Linked DNA regions of Mus musculus: regions 1, 2 and 4 are each reported to be linked to region 3. The links are microRNA targets in miRTarBase. Many come from high-throughput screens and were not tested one by one. Region 3 holds a microRNA gene; each other region holds the end of a gene's coding sequence.
Evidence for each region. The annotated mature microRNA mmu-miR-320-3p reads AAAAGCUGGGUUGAGAGGGCGA and lies in region 3 at 2,147-2,168, shown strand. An mRNA with a match to its seed (bases 2 to 7 or 8) in the 3' UTR can be bound and repressed. Matches are read on the target gene's strand: a 7mer-m8 pairs with bases 2 to 8, a 7mer-A1 pairs with bases 2 to 7 and ends in A, and an 8mer does both.

Region 1 (6,000 bases), not on the chromosome of region 3:
AGCCAGCGTGCGTTTGGGCACTGCGGGGCCCAGGGTGGCAGCGTAGGAACAGGATGGAGATCCCCGTGCCTGTGCAGCCTTCTTGGCTGCGCCGTGCTTCAGCTCCTTTACCAGGTTTCTCTGCTCCGGGACGCCTCTTTGACCAGCGTTTCGGCGAAGGGCTGCTTGAGGCAGAGCTGGCTTCACTGTGCCCTGCTGCGATCGCCCCCTACTATCTGCGCGCCCCCAGTGTGGCGTTACCCACAGCCCAGGTGCCAGGCCTAGGGAGAGGGCCAATCCAACTACTAACAAGACTGGGGGCCAGGAGGGGGGTCTAACCCCGGGCCGGGGGTGCGGGAATGTCTGTTGATTTTTAACTTAGAGGAGAATGTCACCCCTCAGTGGGGCCATTGGGTGTCCCTTGAGTGCGGTATTCTGAGCCCCTCCCCCCCCCCCCCCCCGTTACTGATCTTCTGAGGGGGTGAAGGGTGGGGCAAGTGAGCCGGGAATCTGGGGGAAAGGACAAGTGAGTCCCGACGGGCTGTAATGTTCCTAGGGTTGCATATGGTGATGCTGCATCTTCAAGAGGGATCCTGTGATTTGATGAAGGGGGTCTTGGGCACTCTAAACGAGGGGAAAGTACCCGTAAAGGGCACAGGAGGTCCCATGACCTAAGTAAGAACTCTGGCGATGGGGAAGTGGCATCTTGGTTGCTAGCATGGTGGGGTCTCGTAGCAGAAATGGTGACTGTGGAGTCAAGGACATGGGGTGGGGGGTTATAGGGTAGATATCTAACTTGGTTACCACAAAGAGGTGGACCCAGTATTTGAAGGGGAGGGGGGCCAGTTATTATGAGGCTGAGGTTCTGGTGACTTAGAGGGGACAGTCTACACAAGTCCTCGGCAGCAGCACTGTAACCTATGTATCATAGAGAGTGCTGGGTCCCAGAAGCCAAGACCCCTATCCGATCGACGCCCCACCCCTACCCGCCATGTGTGCAGGTGTCCACGGACTCTGGGTATTTTTCCGTGCTGCTGGATGTGAAGCACTTCTTGCCAGAGGAAATCTCTGTCAAGGTGGTTGACGACCATGTGGAGGTCCATGCTCGGCACGAGGAGCGCCCGGTAGGTCTGCATGCCAGACTGGGGAGCGGGGTAGGCAGGAGGGTAGGAGTCTCAAGCCCATCTCTCCCTGTACCCCACCCTCAGGATGAACACGGATTCATTGCTCGAGAGTTCCACCGCCGATACCGCCTGCCTCCTGGTGTGGACCCTGCTGCTGTGACCTCAGCACTGTCTCCTGAGGGTGTCCTGTCCATCCAGGCCACACCAGCGTCGGCCCAGGCCCAACTTCCGTCACCACCTGCTGCCAAGTAGGGGTCCCAGCTGCACAGGACCGAACCCAGGAAGCCTCTTTAGGCTCTCTTTTAAAAGCCGATCTGACTCCACTGCCCAGCCAGATGTCCCAATCGCCGTCAAGACAGCCTTTCCCAACCACACCTAGATGTCCTTCGGAGACCTTTCCACCCCTAAGCCTACCTGAGCCCTAGTAACCTAGACAGCCTCCCTAAGCCCTCTCCCAGCTTTCCGGCCCGACCCAGGACACCTCTCTAGGGACGCTACTGTCACCCCTCAGTCAAGGCTCCCATCAAATTGACCCCACTTTGGGCTTCTATCACCACGCAGGCCTCCTACCGCACTTGTAACCTGTGTAGAATACCCCAAGGTGACACCAGAGTACAGTGTAGTCACCTAATTCTCCACATGGAGAAACTGCATGGGCTTTCCACATCAGAACATCCAAGCCTAGTCCACCAGTCCTACCCACTAGTCCTGTTCTTGTAACATAATGCTCCTCTGCCCAGCCCACTTTCAGACTTAAAACTCCAGGCACCTAAATTCTTGAATACTATTCTGACTTCCAATTCTTGGGAAAACTATTCCCAACTAACCAGGAACCCCAAACTCAAACTGTATGGACACTTCAACTTCTCCAGATGTGCTAGGCCAATGAACAAGAACCCTTGAGTTCCTCTGTCCTGGCTGCCCATCTGCAGCCAGATGTCTTAGGGAGCCTCCTTCACATCTGCCATTCTCTAAGGTCACACCTTCACTGCCAACATTTCCCATCTCCGCAGGCCTTCCTACCATCAGTCCCCAATAAATGCACTTGAGATTTGTCAACTGCCTTATGTCTGGGCCAGGAACGATGGCCTGGCCAGTGTGGGTTGGGGGGCACATTTATTGGGGTGGGGTTCCTGGGAAGGTCACTGCCGGTCATACATCTCCCGTAGGATCTTCATACTTTCTGAGTAGCGAAGCTGGTTCCGATGAGATGCCTCCTTCCACCTAGGAAGGCAGAGGGAGGATTTAGCAACTGCTACAGAGGACACTGGGACAAGCAGCAAGTGAGGCAGGCCACACTCACCTCTGGCGTATGCGTTTCCAACGTTGCATGTTGCGATAGATAAGTGTGGAAGGAGAAGGTTCAGGCTCGGAAGGCTGCATGGACAGAGAGGCTCAGCTGGGTGACTGTGTCCTAGCCCTCCCAACATGCCCTGAAGCTCCAGGCCAGCCTTGGATACCTACTTCATCATCGGGGGTACCCTCGGTCTCAGGCTGCAGTGGGGATGGAATTCTGGATCTACAGGCATCTCCAAGTGGTCCAGGAGCTGTGGGTGGAGGCAGCTTGTACACATCACGGTTTTTGCTGTTGATGACCTCTGAACCCTGGGGAGACAAAGCCCCAGACGAGACCCAAGAGTCAGAGCAGAGGGTTGAAAGTACATGTCGCTGGGTGTGGTGGCGCATGCCTTTAATCCCAGCACTCGAGAGGCAGAGGCAGGTGGATTTCTGAGTTCGAGGCCAGCCTGGTCTACAAAGTGAGTTCCAGGACAGCCAGGGCTATACAGAGAAACCCTGTCTTGAAAAATCCAAAAAAAGAAAAAAAGAAAAAGAAAGTACGTGTCATCGCTCCTACCTTTCCCAGCAAGACAGACATGAGGGGTCTATCCAGAAACCTGTACTTGGAGAAGTCACAGTAGAAGGGACATGCCTTTATCAGCTAGAAGATAGTCGTCCTGTTCTAGGGACCGTGTCTCCTTGTCAGCCGGAGAACCCTTGTCTACCTCTGCCAAGCCCAGGGAATTCCATCTCTATCTGTCAGCCCAGGGGCAGAGGGTGGTCAAGATGCTCTCTTTACGCAGTTGTCTAGGGCAGGTGTCATGTCTACTTTTATCTTGAGAGCCCCAAGAATCAAAGTCATGTATCTGTCCCAGGAATCCATGTCTACCCTTTCAGGCCAGATGATTTTCAAACCTGTTACCCTCCGCCCAGCCCGTAAGGTCCACATGTGCTCACCAAGGCCCCATCTGGTAGCCACATCTGTTTGCACTTAAGATCCCTGTTCCCTAGGAAGCCATATCTATGTGGCCTAGGGACCTCTGTCCATAATCCTAAGAGCAAATAGCTATCTGTCCTACCCGATTCTCTATTCATTGAGGGGGGCCCAGGCATTAAAGCTATCTACCACTCATGGGGGAGTTGTTGACTTATCCACCCACTCTTCAATCTGGCCTCCTGATTGAACTCATCCTACCTCTCCATCCTCGGGCAGAGGAGGCAGCGGTGAGCCGGGTGAGCGCTCGCGCTCTCGCACTGTGGGGCTGTTGCGCATCCAGGCGCGGCAGATGGGGTACAGTGGTGTGTTCTCACTGAACTGGGCCAAGTCCACACTCCGGTCAAATAGCTTGATCACATACGTATCTGGGGTGGTAAGGTAGGCGATAAGTGTGTAGTTCCTGGCTCCACACCCACCCTCTCAGTCCCCTGCCTACTCACTGGATCTCTGAGGACCCCCCTCAGCGAGCCCATCGTCCATCTCCCTCCTCTTCTTCCTCCGCTGGTGGGGGAAGCGGGCAGATGGCCTGTGTGGTTAAGGTGAGTGTCAGGCCCGGAGCTGGGGACTGGGAACCTTTTAGTGAGCTGGGGTCCCAGCCACCTTACCTTTTGCCTGTGGCAGCAATGGAACAATCCCTGCAGGGAGAGACATGGTGTCAGGAGGCTTTAATAAACAGCTGCTCAACGCTGCCCCCCAAGGTGGAAGTGACGTAGTTCAGGAACAGAGCATTTGCCTAGCATGGGCAAAAGCCCTGGGGTTCTATCGCTAGCTCTAAAAACAAACAAAAATTAACATCCTGGGGATTATTGGTACTCCTTGGGCCTTGTATCCCACCAATACCCTCCTCTAAGGTGTTAGCCACTTATACAACAGGTATCTTTGTCTATGCAAGATGGTTAGGACTCAGCAGAGAGAAAAGCTACCTAACCCAAACTCTCAGGTCTAAATCCCATCAAAGTCCCTTACTTGTTGTGCGTATCCAAGGGGGTTTTCCCAGCTTCTTCATCCAGGCGTTCCCTGGGAACAAAAAAAACACTACTGGCTTAGGGTACCAAGGACCCAGAGTGTGATGCTATTAATTAGTCTTCCCATGAAACATCCCATGGGGCACTTTTCACCCTAGGCAGCCCCTCCAGCCTCCCATCCACATCCCCCCTCCAACAATCAGAGTCAGTCCAAACAGCTCCCACCCTGTGGTTCCCCAGGCTGGACCAGGTTCCAACCTGTCCATGTGACTCTTCTCCAGCAGACACTGAAGAACGGCATCCAGCTGGTTCCGGGCTTTGGCCATCTCCATCTCTGAGGGTAGAAGGTAGGAATCAGCTCTGTGTGCGCCTCCCACATTCGCCGTGGGAGGCGATCCTACGTCCTGTCTGGTCCAGTTACTTGGAAAGCAGCTTTAGTGCCACTCAGTGGAGAGACCAACTAAAGACAGAACCAGGGTGACAGAGCCTTAGGCGGGGCCAAGGGCACAGCTGCTACCACTGCTCTTTCTCTCCAACACCTACTCAGGAATCTAGGATCTGGACACCTTCCATGGACAGCCCTTAGGGTATTCCCACTGAGGTCTCCTCGAAACCCACTCCACTCCCTGGATTCTCCCATGAGGCGTGACTAGCTGGCCCACAGGCTCCTGACTCGCTGTGGGCACTCCTTTCCCAGCCCCAGTCTCAGCTCACTTGGCTTGTGGGAGTCTGTCAATATATCCCCTCCCTACCTCGCCTTTTCCTCCCACCCAGCGCCTAGCCTCTGTCATCTTTTCTGATCCACCTCCTTTTATAATGCAGACAAAAGAACCTTCCTAAAAGAAAGCCAAGCCTACTGGGCATAATAGCATATGTCTGCTATCCCAGCACTCTGGAGGCTGAGGTAGGAGGATCAAGAGTTTCAAGGTCAGCCTCAGCAATGAAAGATCCTCTCTCAAACAATAAGCAAAAGAAAGAAAAAATACAAAGACAGACAGACAACACAACGTGGCTTTGATCTTCTCCAGCACAGAACCCTCAAGGAGTCTTCAATCCTGACTCCAGAAAATGGGGTCTGTACTCAGTCTGGCGTTTCCAAACCCACCCTTGTCCTACCTGCATAGTTGTAGTGAGGCTCCCTCCACTATATATATTTCTCTCCTCCCACCCCCAGTTCTTCACTATATAGCCTTGGGTTGGCATGTTGTTTGCTAAGTAGGTCAAACTGGCCTTGACTTCAGAGATCCGTTTGTCTCTGTTCTCCATGCCCTGGGAATAAAGGCAGCTGCCAACACGAACAGCCCTCTCTCCACTCACTGCATCTCTGAGGATGTCCACTCAAGCTTTGTTGTTGTTGTTTGTTTGTTTTTTTGCACTTTGGGGTGTACCTTTACCAACTCACTCCTTCTTCAAAAACCTCCCTAGACTACCCACTTCCCTCAAAGGAAAAGTCGAAAGTCCCTTCCCAGAACCCACAGATCTGTCCTCCTCCCCTCCCATCTCTCTGCCTCCGTTTCCTCACGGCTGCAGTCGCCCTAGCTGCTCTGCTGCCCGCTTCCTTCCTACACCCTGCCACTCCTCCCACCTTGTCTATTTATCACCCTACACCCTAGCGTTATTGGAATGCACAGCCAGTGAGGATTGATTCAGGGACACT
Region 2 (6,000 bases), not on the chromosome of region 3:
TAACTGACGTGGCTTACCTGTGTTACCCAGCCTGCCTCACTCTGGATCTGCTTACAGGGCTGGGGCTGCAGAACACTGCCTGCCACTGCCCAGGAGTTCAGGCTGTGAACGAGTAGAGAAATGGCTCATGGACTGTCACACTGTAGTCCACACACAGCCAGGAACACAGAGTCCACACTGTCAGAAAGGGCTGTCATGCTGGTCATGCAACTCTCACCTCCATCCCCAAGGCAACCCCACGGATCAGGCCCCAGCTAGAAATTGGTTTGAGACAGGTCTCTCTGTCCTGGAATTTGTCATGTAGACCAGGCTACCTCTTCCTCCCTAGTGTTGCTGTGATTAAAGGTGTTAGCCACCATGCCTTGCTAAAATGGAAAACGTTTAAATAGCTAGGCCACTGTGTAAAAAGACAATACATGTCGATCTGTCTAGCTTAAACCAAGTAATGTTTGAGTGGAGTGAATGTCGTAAGCCTGGTCCGTCACGTCCTTTATCCAGCCTTCACCTTCCCCAGTGTCTGCGCAGACGTCAGCTCACAGTGTGTATCAAACCAAACGGACTTAATGCTTCTAGCCGTGAGTTCTAGGCTGGTTCCGGGAATTGAAAGCTGTAACTAAGCCCTTGAAAGGCGAGTGGAGAAATCCCTGGGATTGTGACATATGGCCAGCAGTCCCTGCTGGCTTAGCTGCTGGAGCACTGGCCAGCCAGAGCAGGGTGGTTTCAGGTGCTGTCCTGCTTGTCCTGGACATCTGGAGCGGTCGTCGGCTCCCTAGAGCCCAGCGCATGCATGTCGTCATCATCAGACACACAGTTTGCCCGGGGTTCACTGGCTGCCCGCATCATGTTTCTCCAGCGTTTTGTTTATGTCAACCCTGATGAGATGCTGGTTATGTGTGCTATCGCTAGCCCAAGTACGTAAACACCAACTGAGTTTGTTTCTAATTTATCATCCCAGGATATTCTTTTCTGCCAAACATTTGGCCTTCCAGGATCCTCTGCAGTAGGGTCATCGGACTGGATCCTATAGGCACAAGCTCTTAACGCAGCCACACATGTGTGTTGTACAGTGTCTGTGGCTGGATGGTCCACAGTCCTGACCATAGCATCTGACCCTTTACAAAAGTGTTGCTGCAGAGATCGGCCCACAGGCAGAAGGAGTGTAAATTCATTGCCAGGTTTCTGCTCGGCTCATGGAAAGCCCATTTCTGGCCAGTCTGGATTCTTTATAGCCACAAACTCTCAGCTGTTCCCATGGAGCACTTACAGAGAGGGTTCCATACATTCTACATGAATGCCTCTCTGTTTGATGGCCAGAGACAACTTGGAGTTGTTTAAATTCATGAGCCTGGCTCAAGCACACATCTAAGACCCGTGTTTGTGTGTGCGCCAAAGTGCCAGCGGCTAGAAAAGAAGAAGCGATCTCAGAGCTTGAGTGGAGGTTAAGTGAGGGTCAGCTCTTCCATCTGGATGCTTTATACCTGAGACTCGCTCACCTCCCGTAGCCTGCCTGCCTGCCTTTATTCCCAGCACTCAGAAGCCTGAGGCAGCAGGTTGGGGAGTCTGAGGCCAGCCTGGTGCGTAGCAGTTTCCAGGCCAGCCAAGGCTGTGTAGTAATGTTTTGTTGCTGCTGTTTTCTGAAGGAATCTCCCTCCTGCTTCTTGCAGTTAACCGTGTTGCTCTCCTCAGGTCACAGCTTGCATGGAAAATGCTCTCGGCTACTGAAACCACATTTATGTGACAGCTCCCTGCTTGGTGTGTCAGTCCCTCCCGGCAGCTCTCTGCTGCAGGATATGCCTTTGAAGTCACATGGCTAGCGAGCATTCACGTGACGTCCTCCCTTTGCTTCCCTCAGGTACAGGTTTGACCTGCGTCTCATGTTCAACAGTCACGGCAGCGTCAGAACGAGAAGGTTCTCGAAGCATCCGCTCTAGCAGCCTCTGCGTTGGATCCTTGCACAGCCTTTTCCGGTGCCGTGGTTGGAGTGGGAGCCCACGCCTCGGGAGCTCTGGCCTTGCTCTTTCAAGTCTTGTTTGAAAAATAATCCAGTCAGCTGACTTCCAGTACTGTGAATCCGCCCCTGTCAGAAGTGGCTGACCCTGTTTCTCCTCAGATGACAACCACCACTCCTGAGGTCTTTGTCCTCTCCTTGTCCCTTCATCTTGGCTGGGCACAGTATATGAGTCCCCACGTGGTCGAGTCTGGATCTGTAAAACTCTTCTGATAATGGCAATACTTTAGGGCAGAGATAAAACCTTTTGGTATTTTAGCTAGCCCCCAAATCAAAAGCACTGTATAGCATTTCACACCGAGCCCCTCACCAAAACTCACACAGTTGCGAGAAGAGCTGCTGTCTGTGGACACGTAGAGAAAGGACATTCATGACATCCCTGTGGTGTGGTTAATGTGCGACGTGTCGCCCAAGCTCTGCCCTAAGAAGCTTCTTAGTGACTCCAGCCACCTGAGAGCGCCCAGGAGCACCAGGGGGGGCCAGATGCGCTTCCTGAGCTCTTGGATCAGTGCGCTGAAGGGCCGCACTTACAAGTGCCTGTCTGGAGGGTTCTCAAGTGTCAGCGCCACACAAGTCATCCTGCCTGGCTGCAGTTAGCTGTCATTGTCATTGAAAATCTTAGTGTCTCCTGGTGGAGGGGAAGGACCGGCTGCCTCACCCCACTCCCTGATCTCACAAAAGTGCGAGTTTCCAGTCCTGACTAACTAGGGCTCCAGTCAGTATTCCCCTGGCCGGCTTCCCAGATGCCCTGGACGGCACTCTGTTCCTTAAAGTCCAGTTCCACCCTGACGTCCACAGAGGCAGCACGGAGTGGCGAAACTCGGTTCCAGCCTGTCGTCGGCAGTGAGCGGGTTTAGCTTTACACAGCCTCTGCCCAGCTTTAACTTGTAAGACAGCTATGAGTCACTTTGAGAATTCCAGAGGCCATGTTGGGGGGACAGCCATTGAGTTTATTCCTTTACCTCATGTGACCCCAGCAACTTTGGTGATACTGAGAGGCCAGCAGGCAGTAGAGTGGACACCTCGGCCGTGGCCACTTTAGAGGGGGAAAAGTTTAAGTTTTAAACTAAAAGTTACAGAATTGAATGTGGATACCGGCTTCATTCACCCCCACTTGGATTCTAAACATGACCAGTGAAATAGTGAAAGCTGACCACAGTTGTTCCCAAATAAAGGTCGGCAGCTCCTACCAGGTCTGGGATTGAGATGTTAGAGTCTTCAGTTTTATAGCCGGCTCCTGAAAGCAGGCGACATCAGAGTGGTAACAGTCAGTAGGCTGCAGTAGGTGTCCTACCTCGAGGCCCTCAGATGGAGGTAACACATTAGGATTGTGGGACACAAGATCCTCTCTGAACCTCCTGGTTAAGGAACGTTCCTGCAAACATTCAAGTAGACCTTCTATAACAGACTGCAGCGTGCATGGCCTCTACCCACAAGAGATGCACTGCAGGAGGCCGGCCCTGTTCTCTGTACTCAGCATTTTGACATCTCCTTTGAAGGCCAGGTATATGTGTACCAGTGCTCTTCAAAGGGAGAACCATTAAAACCAACATGGAATGCAGGGACTTCGCCTTATAAGATTTCCAGTTTTAAAACTGCCCCTCAGATACAATTTCAAAGTAGGGTACACATTAGAGTGTCTTTGAGTTCAACAAGTTGGTACTGTTGCAAACACCTTCTGAATTGCCAGCGCCCGGGTTTTTATGTAAAAATAGAGTGGCTATGGAAGTTACACCTTCATCTGTGGGAAGTATTCTCAAACGTAGGGGTATCTTTATCTTATGTTTTCTAATGGAAGATGGCAGCCCAGAATCCTCAAGACAAAGCAAGGGGTATCAGCTGATGGCCGCGGGACTGATGGGTGTCCTGGGTTCTTTAGCTCACCAGCACTTTGCGCTCAATGGACTTTGTAAATTCTCATCAGCTGTTGTAGAAGTTCCTCTGCCTGGAGCTGTCATCTCAGCCGCTCCCTTAGAAAGTGCCCTTCAACGGACCCTGTTCACTGCTGCACTTCTCAATGAATTAAAACTGACTTCTGTTCTAGTGGCAATGTGTCCTTTGTTTTTAGTCCACAGGTGTTGATTCTCACAATGTATAAGAAGGTGGCTGCTTCGTGGAGTTCTGTAGTTTTGTGGTGCTAGGGTCCAAATTCAGGGCTGACATAAAAGGATCAGGTCAGCACTGTCCCCCGGAGATAGACCTTCCGGCTGCAAGGTTAGCCAATAACCTAGTGAAAATGGACCGTCTCCTCCTCGTGTGCGCCCTCCGCCTAGAAAGCTCTTAGATACCAGTCCCTGCAAGTCATCTGAGACCTGGGAAGATGGCTCAGTAACTAAGAACACCTGTTCTTGCAAAGGACACCCCCCCCCCCCCCCCCGCTCCCAATGCAGCTCCCAGCCCCTACATGGTAGCTAGCAGCCATCTGTAACTCCAGCTCAGAAGATCAGGTGCCTCTTCTGACCCCCACAGCCTCCTGCACACACACATAAATATTCATAAACTTTTTAAAAAAGAAACCCGCTGATAAGTGACTTACAGCTTCTTTGAGCGACTTGTAAGAAGACAGACTAACTCACCCTTGCCAGTATTACTGTGGTCGCCCCTTTCCCTAGAAGGAAAATTACATTTTGCAGGAGTCATCAAACTTTGTTAAAGGGTTAAATATCCAATCCTAGGCATACAGGTTACGTACATAGTCTCTGTCACAGCTACATTGCTGGTAGAACATAAAAATAGCCCAGGAGCTGGGGCTACAGCTCAGAAGTGCTTGTGTTATATGCAAAAGGCCCTGGGTTCCACCCCCTTCATCACGTAAACTTAGTGTGGTGAGGGTTCTTCAGCTCCAGAGAGAGTCCAAATCCTGGTGCGTAACTGTGCGGCTCTGTTCCAATGTAGGAAAACAAATTGGCCACAAATTGCCGGCCACCGACATCAATGGTTGCTTCATAGACCAAGGAGATGTTAGGCATTGAAAAATTAACATTACTGTCTGGAAAAGCTGATTTGGGGGCTGGAGAGATGGTTCAGAGGTTAAGAGCCCATACTGCTCTTGGAGAGAGGACTCCAGGTTGGGTTCCCAGCACCTACACCAGATGGCTCACAACCACCTGTAACTCCAGCCTCGGGAGAGCCAACCTCGTCTTCTGGTCTCCACAGGTACAGTGCCCACAAACCAAGTCACACAAATAGACACTTAGTTAGAAATAAGAATCTTTAAGAATTAATGTGTGTTTACCACAAGGCTGAGATCACTTCTGGATCCGAGCTTTGGCTAGAAAGTAGCACAACCCCTGTCAGTCCCCCCTCATCCCGCTGTCCCTCCCCCAACCCCTGTTCCCACCCCGAGGGGACCACATATGGTGGGTTTGTTACAAGTGAGGAGCACTCGGTAGGAGCAACCTGTATTGTAGCAAGCCTGCTCTTCGCTCCAGAGGAAGACTGACCTCCTCATCCATAGAAATTGCTCATCTGCCAACAGTCCTAAGAAATGACTCTCATAAACTAGTCGGGGCCTTGTGATTGGGGAGGCCAGAGTTGGTGCTTACCCAACACCTCTCAGCTGGCTAAGCAGCTGGTCGCCTGGTTGGTCGGATGCATTCCTTGCCCTACCCAATGGAGTCTAGAAGCCAGAGCAGCCATCCACAACTGCTGTGATGTGGTCAGAAGAGCTGTTTTGTAACCCGGCGTTTGAGGTGAAGGGTGTGTATAGTAGGTCATGAAGATGAGCACAATGCTTTTATATGTTCTAATCACCTAGGGGTATATGTGTGTGTGCAGGTGTGTGTGTGTGCCTCGAGCGCGTGCGCTTATTTGCCTGCACACATGCACATGTGGGCCAACTGTGCCTGCATGTCCAGGTGAGAGGACAGTTCCTGGAAGCTAGAGCATACGTAATATCAGCTTGGGTCAGACTTGAGGGGATGCCTAGTCCTAAACAGAAAGCAAATCGTCCTTTAGGAACCAGGAAATTAAGTTCTATCTCCCCAGCAGCC
Region 3 (6,000 bases):
TCCCGTTCACGCTTTTCCTTCTTCATAGTCACTTCTTCTTTTGGCCTGGGAATGAGGACAGACAAAAGGGTCTGCCTCAGGAAATGGAGCCTCCTCGCTTGCCCCTTTCAGCCCGCTGAGCAGAGCTTGTGAGCCAGTAAGTACACTACGAGAATCGGCACCCAACCCTTCGCTATACCTTTGACATCTCCCATAAAGCACGGCCTTTAATTTCCTTCTACTTTACCGTCTTGTCAAAATGTGGGCCTTTTGTTTTGTTTGTTGGTTTTTTAACCCTCTAAAAGTAGAAAGGCTGGAGAGCAGAGGACCTTAAGGCAAAGTTGGAGAGTTCAGCCCCACCTCGGCAGAAACAGAAGGTAGCTGAAACTATAAGAGATGGAGCCTACTGGGTGGTTACCCAGCTCCTAAAGGAGAATAGAAACTCAGCCCTTTCCTCTCCTTAATTTCTTTCTTCCCTTGGGTATTCCGACTGCATTCATTGCCATACCATGAACCCAAAAGCAAGAACCACCTGATTGATCGTGGACTAAAATCTCCAAAACAAAATGTCCCTCTCTGTAAGCCAATTATCTCAGCTATTTATTACAGAAAAAAAACAAAACAAAACAAAAACCAAAAAGACCCTCTAATGCAAAGTGCCCTGGAGCTAAGCGTGGAGGTGTACATCTTAATCCCAGCACTCAGGACACAGGTCTGAGAGGCAAGCACATCTCTGGGAGTTCTAGGCCAGCAACCTACATAAGTGAGTTCCAGGACATGCAAGGCCATGTAGCGAGGCACTGTCTCAAAAAGAAACATGCCCCTATATAACCCAGGATTGAAGGATGAGAACCACTGGTGAATAAGCTAATAGCGTAAGTTAAAATCTCTAGGCCACACAACCTAATTACGTCCCCAAATTCAGAGCTAACCGGGGTGAGTACTGTTCATTCATTACTTACTCTTCTTTGATCTTCCGACTGATGATATTTGGGGTGAAGGTTTTCTGAAAAGTAAAACACAGTACTGTATTTTCGATGTGCTCAACTGACCAACAGTCCTGGGATGGCTTAGAGAGACAGGTAGACTATCACCAGTAGCCCCCAAGGCAAAGCTAAAATGCTTTATCCTGTGTTTGCTATTCCTTTTCAGAGCTACTCGGTACAGTTACATCTACTGTTACACACATAACAGGAGGGGACAAAGAGCAGTTACCGGCATGCCTAAGATTCATCACTTACTAGATTATTAGTTTTCAATACTGACATCCACAGAGTTATGAACACTCGAAATTGCAAGTAAAGCAATTTTGTCTGGCTTTCAAGGGATTTTGTAAGGAGCCCAGAACATAATAAGCACTTCCGGATGTCTTGAATCAACTAGATTCACTGTCTTTTAATTGCCTAGGAGACCCTGTCAGTGTCCTGTACCAGCACCTAGGTTTGCAGGTCTCTCTAAAGGCTGACATCCCACCAGGGGCCCAAGGCAGCACATGAATGAACATCACGAGTCGCCTCCCTACGGCCTGGGTGGGTTTCTATACAAACGCGCTCGCAGGTACCTTCTTGACTCCGCCAAGGGTGAGGTCCCGGGAGCGGATGGAGGGAAGGCGACCGGGCGTAAGCGGGGGTGCGGGCCGCCGGCCGATCAGCCCCCGGCCCCCAGAGAGAAGGGGTCGCGGCCCTCCAGGATTGCTGGGCTCGCCCGCCGCGTTTCCTTCCGACATGGTTCCTAGAAGAAAGTAGGCAACAAAGTGACTCCAAGGGCTGGACGCGAGGACCCTGGGCGGAACCGCACCCACGTGGCCTCCCGCCCCCCGCCCGTGCGTCGCTCTCGCTGCAGCTCAGCTCCTCCCCGTCCCACGTGGCGAGGCTTCCCGGAGCGCCCCACCCCTAGCTTTGGACTCCGTCACCTGCCCTTTCCCTGGGGACTTCGTGACGCACCTGCGTGGAGGCTCTGCGCCGAGTATCACAACCTCACCTCCGACTAGAGCAACCACGGGCCGCGGGTCTCCGGGCAAGGCGGAAGTCTGCGTGGCAAGGACCGGGCGCTGCCATCTTACCCTGGGGCGGAAGTGACATCAAGGGGGCGTGACCTGACCATAGTATTTATCCGACGGTGCCTCGCCGCCCTCCGCCTTCTCTTCCCGGTTCTTCCCGGAGTCGGGAAAAGCTGGGTTGAGAGGGCGAAAAAGGATGTGGGAGGTGGACTGTAAGCTGTGCCGGGGTGTGACTCGTGGGGGCGTGTCTCGGCCCCTGGCAGGGAGTAGAGGTGCGGTCCTCGGGGTCGGAGGTGGAGGGGCTCCAAGGTCGCCTACCTGCTGTATGTGGAGTCCACACTGCGCAGCCTCTGGGAGCAGTGGGGTCGCCGCTCGGGATGGGGCTCCGGACATAGGGAGCTTAGAGCCCTCAGGCCGTGGCTGGCTGCAGCCTCCCTGCGTTGACCTTGGCGTGGTCATTGCACCTTCGGGCTCGACCCTTTGCTCGCGTGCGCCTTCCCTTGCCGGTCCCTGGGGTCTTGGGGTGTCACCCTTAACGCAGTTTGGACAGAGCAGCCAATAGCTCTTCTCATCTACCTGGGCCCATGACTGCTTAGTCAAATCTGGGAAGCCTTTGGAACTGAAGTTTGCTCTTCAACTGGAAGGGTTTTTGTTTTTTGATTTTTGGTTGGGAGGTGTGGGTATTTTTAAGACAACCCTGCTCTGTAACCCTATCTAGTCTGGAACTTAAGTAGACCAGGCTGGCCTCGAATTTGCAGCAGTCCAGTCTCTTCACTCATCCCTCAGTTGTAGGGATTACAGATGTACACCACCAATCCCAGCTGAAAAATTTTTTTATTGTAATGTGTGGTTGCAATCTAATCTGGGGGGGGGGGAGTCATTTAATGTTACACTACAGCGACCCCAATACAAATAAAAAGGTTATGTAATTCTAGGGAAGGAACCTATTTCTGCTGGAATTCCATAGGCTGCTAGCATTAAAATATTTTTGATGTACTGTAATATTGTGCCACACAATAGTGTATTCTTTGTCGGAGACAAATGACCAATGGGAGGATATATATGTGCATATTTATATGTATATATCGTAACTTGTTTCCTTAATGGGGCACTTACTTTAAATAGGTATGTTGTTAGAAATAGCTAGTGTACATTTGATACATCCAACTTTTTTGCTTTCTTGTAGATTATATCCCTAGGAAAGAGTTTCAGAAAATGTACATATTAAAAGTATACTTTGCTGGGCAGTGGTGGCACACGCCTTTAATCCCAGCACTTGGGAGGCAGAGGCAGGTGGATTTCTGAGTTTGAGGCCAGCCTGGTCTACAGAATGAGTTCCAGGACAGCCAGGGCTACACAGAGAAACCCTGTCTCGAAAAACCAAAATAAATAAATAAAATGAAAATAGTAAATAAGTAAACTTCATTTTGATGTCATACATATGCAGTTATTTAAAAAAAAAAAAGGGGGGGGGGGAAATTATGTGACAAGCCAGGCATGTTGGTGCATGCCTGTAAACCCAGTACTTGGGAGGAAAAAGCAGGCAGGTCTCTGAGTTTACACCAGCTTGGACTACAAAGTGAGACACTGATGGTGATGATGATGATAATGATTCAGCAGAGCCCAAATTCTGTTTACTTTGTTTTCCACAATAGTAAGATCTAGCACTTATATCAAAACCAGAATATTGACATTTTTGCAGTCATGGTACAAGACATTTCAGCATGACAGGAATCCCTGAAGCCGCCCTTTCAGATACAGCCAGCCTCCCTTACTGCTGAGCCTTCTCTTCCTCCCACTCCTCCCCACACTAATCTGTTCTCCATTTCTAAAATGTTGTTATTTCAAAAGTATTCTAAAGATGGAGTCATACGGTATATGACTTGGATTGTTTTTGAAGAGACGGAGTCATCTTGTTATAAACCTCTAGTTGACCTGAAACTCACTGTAGAGACAAGACTTGACTTCAAACACTCAGGAAAGTATCTGCCTTGGCAGTGCTAGGATTGAGGGAATGTGCCCTCGTGCCCAGCTTCTGTGGCTACTTTTTATTTGTTTATTTATTTTAGATTTTATTTATTTCATGTATATGACGAATACACTATAGCTTTCTTCAGACACACCAGAAGAGGGCATCAGATCCCATTACAGATGGTTGTAAGTCACCATGTGGTTGATGGGATTTGAACCCAGGACCTTTGGAAGAGCAGTCAGTGCTCTTATCTCTCCAGCCCTTGTGGCTACTCTTTTATCCCTATAATTTTGTGGCTATTATCCAAGTGGTACATATCATTAGTTTATTCCTTTTCCTACTGCATTTCTATGATTTATTTAGTCATCCTTTGAAAGACATCTGGGTTGCTTAGTTTGTGTCTATTGTGAATAAAGTTGCTGTGGATAAATGTGCAGCTCTTTGTGTCAATACAAATGTCCACGTCTCTGGAATGAGTGCACCTGTTGGTAGGTATGACTGTATGATTAATCTTGGAAACAAGAACAACAAACCGGCTTCCGCAGTGGCTAGACTATTTTCGAAGAGTATTTTGTGGTTCATTATCAACGCTACTAAATTGTTTTCAAGAAGTGCTTATGCTAGAGGACTGAAGATGCCCAAGTGGGTAAGAGACTTGCTGCCCTTATTCCCAGCTCGCATGTTGTGGCTCTCAGCTGTCTATAATTCCAGTGTCAGGGGATTTGGTGCCCTCTTTCAGCCCCCAAGGGCACCAGGCAAGCTCACAATGCACAGGCACACATGCAGGCAAAAACCATTTGTGCATGTAGAATTCAGAACAAATAAATCCCCCTTTTAAAAAGTACTGAGTTAAGCCAGGTGTGGTGGTGCACACCTTTAATCCCAGCACTTGGGAGGCAGAAGCAGGCGGATTACTGAGTTTGAGGCCAGCCTGGTCTACAAAGTGAGTTTCAGGACAGCCAGGGCTATACAGAGAAACCCTGTCTAAAAAAAAAAAAAAAAGTACTGAGTTAGTCAGTCCGTGGTGACACATGCCTTTTATCCCAGCCCTCAGGGTGGTAGTGGTGCACTCCTTTAATGCCACCACTTGGGAGGCAGAGGCAGGTGAATCTCCCAGCCTGGTCTACAGAAAGAGTTCAGGACAGCCAGGGCTACACAAAGAAACCCTGTCTCAGAAAAACAATAAATAAATAAAAAATACTGTGCTAAGATGTATGACTACTAAAAATGTAAGAATAAAAATAGAGGGGGCTGGAGAGATGGCTCAGCAGTTAAGACCATTGACTGCTCTTCCAGAGGTCCTGAGTTCAATTCCCAACAACCACATGGTGGCTCATAGCCATCTGTAATGGGCACCTGAAGCCATCTTCTGCTGTGTCTGAAGACAGTGACAGTGTACCCACATATATGAAATAAATATACCTGGAGCAGGGCTGGAGCAAACAGGGATGGGGTCGGGGGGGGGGGAATAGAAATAGAGGAAGGGCCTGATAGATCCCCACTCCTCTCTGAGGAATTTCCATGTGGTTAAAAGTTGAAGGGAGGAAAGGTAAGACATGTTCTTTCAGTGGTGTAGCCATTGGTAAGATGTTCATGTTCCTTTGCACAGCCCCAGTGAAGCTCGTTGAACCACACACACACAAATAGAAGAATGGCAGCTGGCTGGGAAAAGGAATAGTGGGCCAGAGTCCTGGCTAGTTGTTTGTTGTTGGTTTTTTGTTTGTTTGTTTAAGATTTATTTATTTTATGTATAGGAGTACAATGTAGCTATCTTCAGACACACCAGAAGAGGGCATTGGCTCCCTTTACAGATGGTTGTGAGCCACCGTGTGGTTGCTGGGAATTGAACTCAGGACCTCTGGAAGACCAGTGGGTGCTCTTAACTGCTGAGCCATCTCTCAAGCCCATCCTGGCTAGTTTTAATGTCAACGTGACACAAGATAGAGGCATTGAAGAAGAGGGCACCTCAGATGAGAAGAATGCCTCTATAAGATCAGGCTGTAGGCCAGCCTCTGGGGCATTTCCTTAATTAGTGATGGGGGTGGGAAAC
Region 4 (6,000 bases), not on the chromosome of region 3:
AGAAACAAACACAGTATATAGGTTAAAATTATGATCCACTTATATGATTTGGCCACAGACCAGATTTGAGCTATTACAGAGAAGTTGTTAATGTATTCATGATACATGGTCATTTTCATATTTCTTTTTCCCTCCCACTGTTTCCTAAACAGAAATGTTAGTGTGTGCTAGACAAGAAATTAAGTTCTTTGGTTACAATTAGGCCTCTGTTACCAGAAAGGGCACATCACGCCCCCACTCACATGGCTGTGAAATGCGTACACTGCCCCAAAGGTAACCGACAGGGAGCACGGACATTAGAGCAAGAATGGAAAGTGGTACTAGAGGATGACAACCCAACACACAGCACACACTGGCAGCTCTGCACCCACAGCTCTGGACGAGGCAGCAGACATGCAGGCAAGCAGCCTGGAAAACTTCAGCAGGAATCAGTACCCGGGAATGCAAGTCAGTTTTCTACAGAACAGCTAAGACACACAACGCCCACATGAATGGCTCCAAGTGACATCATAAAGTTACACTTTAAAATATGAATGGACTGTAGCGGTTTCTGCCTAGCAAAAGGTTATGTGTGCAGACAACCTCAGAACACAAGTGTAAACTCCTGCATTCAAGGCTGTGCTGCCTCGTCCCGCCCCCTAGTTGATGCATGACACACACACACACACACACACACACACACACACACACACTGCCTGTCTTCAAAGCTGCCCAGGGAAACCTAGGTGGTCCCTGGCTCCAGGTCCTTACCAATGGCGTCAGAGCTCTTGAGTCCTCTCGAAAGCTGACCCACACTGCTACCTCCCACAACTGCCAGTGACGGTTGCTTAGCCATTCAATCTAAAGCAACAGAGCTCCACGGCACTACTTTTCTTCAAATAGCATTTTCTTTCACATGGTTTATTTGCACACGGTTGTTTCCAAGCTCCACAAAGCCTGGCTTTCGTCTTACTGGAGTCCTCACATCTGTCACTTCTGTTTTCATTCTCAGTGCCTTCGCTTTCGTCACAGATACGATTGGGAAGGCTTCAGGTCAGTAACTAGTTCCTGGAACTCAATCAAGGGGACTTAACTTCCCCAACTGGAAATAAGACCCAAAATGTCACAGCAAGCATGACAGAGTCATACCCACAATACATGATCTGATTGGCTAATCACACCCTACATGTAAAGCTGGGTGCAAAGGCTGTCCTCCAGGGCATGTCACAGGACCACCTGTAGAGTCACTAGCACCTAGTGACCTACTGGACCCCAGTCCTCTCTAAACAAGAAAGAGTGTAACTTACCAGAATACTGGGTCACATAACCAACAAATATAGAGAATTCGTTAAAAAAAGTCAGAGAATAGAGACACAGACGTGAACTGTTCTCATGAGGCAAAACACGACACAATTCTCAGAAATCAATCCATTTAACAGACACATAAACCCTTGAAGCTGGGCAGTAACCTTTCCTCTTTGACTCTAGAGGTAAAGAGGACAATGCACTGGAAACTACCGGTTTCCTCCAGTGCACAAAGACTAGTGGGTTTTAACCCTGGCTATCCAGAGTAAGAAAGCTTATACAGCATATCTCACAGAGCTGTTTAAGGGAAATTACCTATTACAGTGGTGTGCCATTTTCTGTCACCCTTTAAAATCCCTTCCTACCATCTCAGTAGCTGTGCTCTGTGATTTAATGGAACTGGGGGGGAGGGGGGGAAGTCAAGGACTTCCATGGGATCAGGTTACCGAGAGGCCATGGAGAGGTTCTCCATGTGTGCTCGCAGGAGTCACAATGGTGGGATACACTGGCACTTTCCAGCCACATACGAGCCTCTCTCTTGTATTACAAACATGGACATGGCTCAGGTTTGTACTCTAGCATTGCATGAGAACAAAGGCATGGAAAACGCTTGGGAAACCAAGTGTGACAAAATGATCCATCTTGGTTAAAGTCTTATCACCTCTCTACCAATATGACCCTGAGTGAGTCATTTAATTTCTTTCTGGATAGATCTCCCATGAAAACAGGGTAATAAATGAACCTGCTTCGTTGGTTGAGAATCCAATGAGTTGCCACATGCTTGCTTTGTGCACAGTAGGTGCTAAATCAGCAATTAATTACTATTGGTGCCTCACGTTAAAGGAAACTCCTCTCCCTAACCTCAGAGCAATCACTTCCGCCGTTATTAAATGTTCCTCCAATTATAGCAAACAGCTTGAGCATCACATACCACAAATCTGTGCTACTAAGAGATCTGAAGACACAGCTTCTCAAGTCCCACTGTCAGCAGCCTTGGAAGAGACAGTGAGAGTCTTCTTGCAAAGAACAACCTGCCTACTTGTGCAACCCTCAAATACAACACCAGGAATCATTCCCAGCAAGCCATGGGGACAGTGTGCTTAGAGCTGAAAAATCCAAATAAAGACATTTTCTCTTCAAACAGGAAAAATCCACATTACTATCTCAGCTTTAAAATGCATTCAAGTAGGCTTGTTCGCTCCTGATGACGTTACAACCGTACCGCTCATACCCTTCCACATTGTACTTCACCTCTATGGGACTTCTGGATGGATCTGAACAACTATCTGGTACTATTTCTATACAGACAGGGGCAACTGTCCTGCATATTGCAGATGGACGGAAGCCCTTCGGCATGTGCACTGAGGATTTAGTGTAGAGACACATCGTTCAACTGCCTCTCCTTCACTAATAGCTCAGAGATAAAAACCTGTCAACTTTTCTGAGTACAATAGACTGTATCAATATGACCAGTGATACATAATCAATATATTATTTAAATTTCTCTTTTCTATATTTAAAATTCTGTATTTTTCTTAATTAAAAAAATTCAGGGTAGATTTTAATACCTTGCTGAGTATTGAAAAAAATTAGTAAATAATGTTCCCTGAATTTAAAAACAGGAAAAAAAAAAACAATTTTAAAAGCTAGACTAGTATTAATACTCAATCTACCATAGGATATATACTATCTTTTTTTTTTGATAACTTTTGGAAACCACCTGTTTCAACACATAGGTACTTAATTTTATTAAGAAAAAGTACTAGAATAATATTTTGACTTCTATTTAGGTTCCACATCTGGACATTAGTCAGCACCCTTACTGTGCAGTGTTTCAGCACGCTACATGAGAACACTAACACAATACATCTTCACCCTTTATAAAGAACAGAAAGCAAATACAGATGAAAAACAGACTTTTAAATAATAAATTCTACTTTTATCACTTGTTGAAAAAAAATCAAAATTTGACCCAAAGGAATCCACAACAAGCTTTCTATGATATAAACAAACATATCCACATCGTTTATTTCTCACAGTTCTCCCGACAAATGAACATTATTCAAGAACATACTGTATACACAGATAAGAAACATACAAAATGTTTTAAATGATGCACAACAAAATCCAGCAGTATAAAAAGAATTGTGAACTCTTGCTCACTGTGCAGACTACATTTAATCACTCGTTAAATAGTAATAAAAATACAATCTTTTATGGATCTTGTGCAGACTACAAAAGAGGGAAAATTATCACCATATATATGATTTTTATATTAGGCAGTTTTCTTTGACGAGCTGTACTGACAACTCCACACAGAGGCAGAAGGCTGTGTACTTTAGAGGGATTAATGGTGTGAGTCAGACTTTACAGTTACTACCACTGGCACTTCTCAACATAGTCTGTACACATCACATGATCATCTCATATAACATGACATTAAAAATATATCAGCGAGACAACTTCATGACATTCACACCCCATGAGCTGGTTACAGAAGCAAAGCCACAGCTATGTCTTGCTTTGCTCTTGGTAAGGACAGGTCATCGTGATTAGAAGTTAGGTATCAAACCGTTAAGCAGCTCCAGTCTACTACAGGCCATCAGTGACCACCAGACAGTGAGTTCTTTTAGAGTACACATCCTAGAAGCAAACACCATCACTGGTTAAAACTTCATCTATAAGTCTGTTTCTGCGCTGAAAACTATCTTCACAAAACTGAAAGCTACTAAACTGATTTAATATAAATACTTTGTCTTTCATTATCATATTTATGACCGAGGTCTTTTAAACCTTTGGAATTGACTCTGGCATTAATACGTGCTCTTGTTTCCACCTCACCCATTTAACACCACCACCTACAAGGCTTTAGGTTAGTGGTGAAAATCTCACCAGGGAACCTCTCGGCTCACCAGGAATGTTCAGCTGCTGATCTACAGCCACACAGTGCAGAGCTGTACTGGACGAGAACACTCGGGGAGCTCTCATGCTGTGAGTGTCCAAACCGTGCACACCATTAACCATGATGCCACTGCTGCGTGTTGACGAGGACTAGTGCGGACGACACTCTCCCATGTCATCTGTTGGCTGGGAAGTAGTTGGGGTCCAGATAACTATAACTGGTGCCCTGGGACACACAGTAATCTCTGTCTAAGAACGTCTCTGACTTATAAACAGGTTCTAACTGGTGGTCTTCCTTGTGAATATCTGTTTCATGTGGGCTGCAAGTAAAAAACACACAGACATGCATCTCATTATTACATGACTCCAGACCCATTTCATTATTACACGACTCCAGATGCATTTTGATTTACCCATTAAAAAATCTTCCCACTTAATCTCTCAGAAAGTTTTAACAGAAAGTTGCTTGAGATCTGGTGTGATTTAAGGAAGATTTTAACTGCTTAGAATAAAATCTAATGCATAAACAATTACACTCTAACTAAACAAGTTTGGAAATAAAGTTCACTGTTTGAGTCTACTGTTTCTGAAATAAAACACTTACCAGTCTGAACAAGAGTCACAGAAATCCAAAGACATTTCTGGAGGGCAGTCCTGGCAGTGCCACCGGACTCCTTGGATAGGTTCCACACCACAGTTATCACACTGCAACAGACAGAAACTCAGAAGAGTACTTGGCTGTGTTTCTTTTCTACCAGGAAGCACATGATATGATAAAGACATACCCTCCCTCCATGCTGTGATATAACACACTTGCTTAAGTCAGACAGAAGTCCCAGTGGAATAGATAAAGGGTCCAGCCACTGAAGCTCAGACTACTGGTAAATGAGAAATGCCCATGCATTTATCCAAGAAGTTTTTAAGCCAATCACCTCAAAGTTGAGTATTTTGCCACTAGTAAACATTTGCTTGAAACCAGTGAGCAACTGTGAACACCCGACTCACAGAGAGCTAGAACAGCCCTGGGCATGAACTAGCAGACACTCAGTGTTAGAGTCCTCTCTAGACAGTTATCAGATTGATCCCAAAGAACAAAGCCTACAATGACAAGAAAGCAGGCACAGCTTGTTCTCCATAGGGCAGTGCACTGCAAGACTGTCTCAGTGTAGAATGTTGGAAACTGAAGGACTGTGATTTGGATGAGAACAGCTTATAGGGGCTTATATTTGAATGCTTGGTCTCTGATTGGTGGAACTATTTTGGAAGGATTAGGAGGTGTGCCCTAGTCTCTTTCTGCCCACCGCCAGAAGAGCAGAATGCAGCGCTACTGCTCTGGCACTATGCCAGCTTGCTTCCCACTCTAAAATTGTAAGAACCCCCCCCCTTAATGTTTTCTAAGAGTTTCCATATGATGTCTCTTCACAGCAATAGAACAGTGATCTTTTTTCTTTTTTTTTGTTTTTTCGAGACAGGGTTTCTCTGTGCAGCTCTGGCTGTCCTAGAACTCACTCTGTAGACCATGCTGGTCTCGAACTCAGAAATCCGCCTGCCTCTGCCTCCCAAGTGCTAGGATTAAAGGCGTGCACCACCACCGCCCGGCGAGAACAGTGACCTTATAAAGCACAAAGTAAATCTCATTCCTAGCTTCTCTGATAACACACTACCTAAGAAGCCACCACTGAGATCTACAGCCGAGTTATAAGGAGACTCAGTTTCCTCTCAAAAAACTAGAAGCCAGTTATGAAAATTCCTTAAGGAGAAGGTCACTGAAGGGTCTAGAGGAAAGGGTTACTCCAAATGACCAGCAATTAATTA

Region 1: the mRNA of Hspb6 is a reported target of mmu-miR-320-3p. Seed matches in the 3' UTR shown: 7mer-m8 at 1,559-1,565.
Region 2: miRTarBase lists Gns as a target of mmu-miR-320-3p. Seed matches in the 3' UTR shown: 7mer-A1 at 2,864-2,870 and 8mer at 2,884-2,891.
Region 4: miRTarBase lists Zzz3 as a target of mmu-miR-320-3p. Seed matches in the 3' UTR shown: 8mer at 1,169-1,176, 7mer-m8 at 781-787 and 7mer-m8 at 704-710.

Annotation. Positions count from the first base shown.
Region 1 is chr7:30,553,282-30,559,281 of GRCm38, forward strand. It overlaps Hspb6 (heat shock protein, alpha-crystallin-related, B6), which reads left to right and starts at 20. Exons shown (of 3, transcript NM_001012401.3): 1 at 20-251; 2 at 981-1,103; 3 at 1,188-2,162. The coding sequence starts at 54. The coding sequence ends at 1,355. It overlaps Lin37 (lin-37 homolog (C. elegans)), which reads right to left. Exons shown (of 9, transcript NM_029377.2): 2 at 4,602-4,677; 3 at 4,345-4,395; 4 at 3,984-4,013; 5 at 3,819-3,904; 6 at 3,577-3,743; 7 at 2,568-2,708; 8 at 2,407-2,480; 9 at 2,160-2,327. The coding sequence ends at 2,246.
Region 2 is chr10:121,393,196-121,399,195 of GRCm38, forward strand. Gns (glucosamine (N-acetyl)-6-sulfatase) reads left to right here. Exons shown (of 14, transcript NM_029364.4): 14 at 1,853-4,059. The coding sequence ends at 1,931. Among named protein-coding and RNA genes, the nearest start is that of Gns, 31 kb to the left of the region's middle.
Region 3 is chr14:70,441,411-70,447,410 of GRCm38, forward strand. It overlaps Mir320 (microRNA 320), which reads left to right and starts at 2,100; the gene lies at 2,100-2,181. Polr3d (polymerase (RNA) III (DNA directed) polypeptide D) reads right to left here and starts at 2,061. Exons shown (of 9, transcript NM_025945.3): 1 at 1,923-2,061; 2 at 1,541-1,710; 3 at 942-985; 4 at 1-45. The coding sequence starts at 1,705.
Region 4 is chr3:152,456,759-152,462,758 of GRCm38, reverse strand. It overlaps Zzz3 (zinc finger, ZZ domain containing 3), which reads right to left. Exons shown (of 14, transcript NM_001080755.2): 13 at 4,790-4,890; 14 at 1-4,505. The coding sequence ends at 4,361. Among named protein-coding and RNA genes, the nearest start is that of 3110067G11Rik, 30 kb to the left of the region's middle.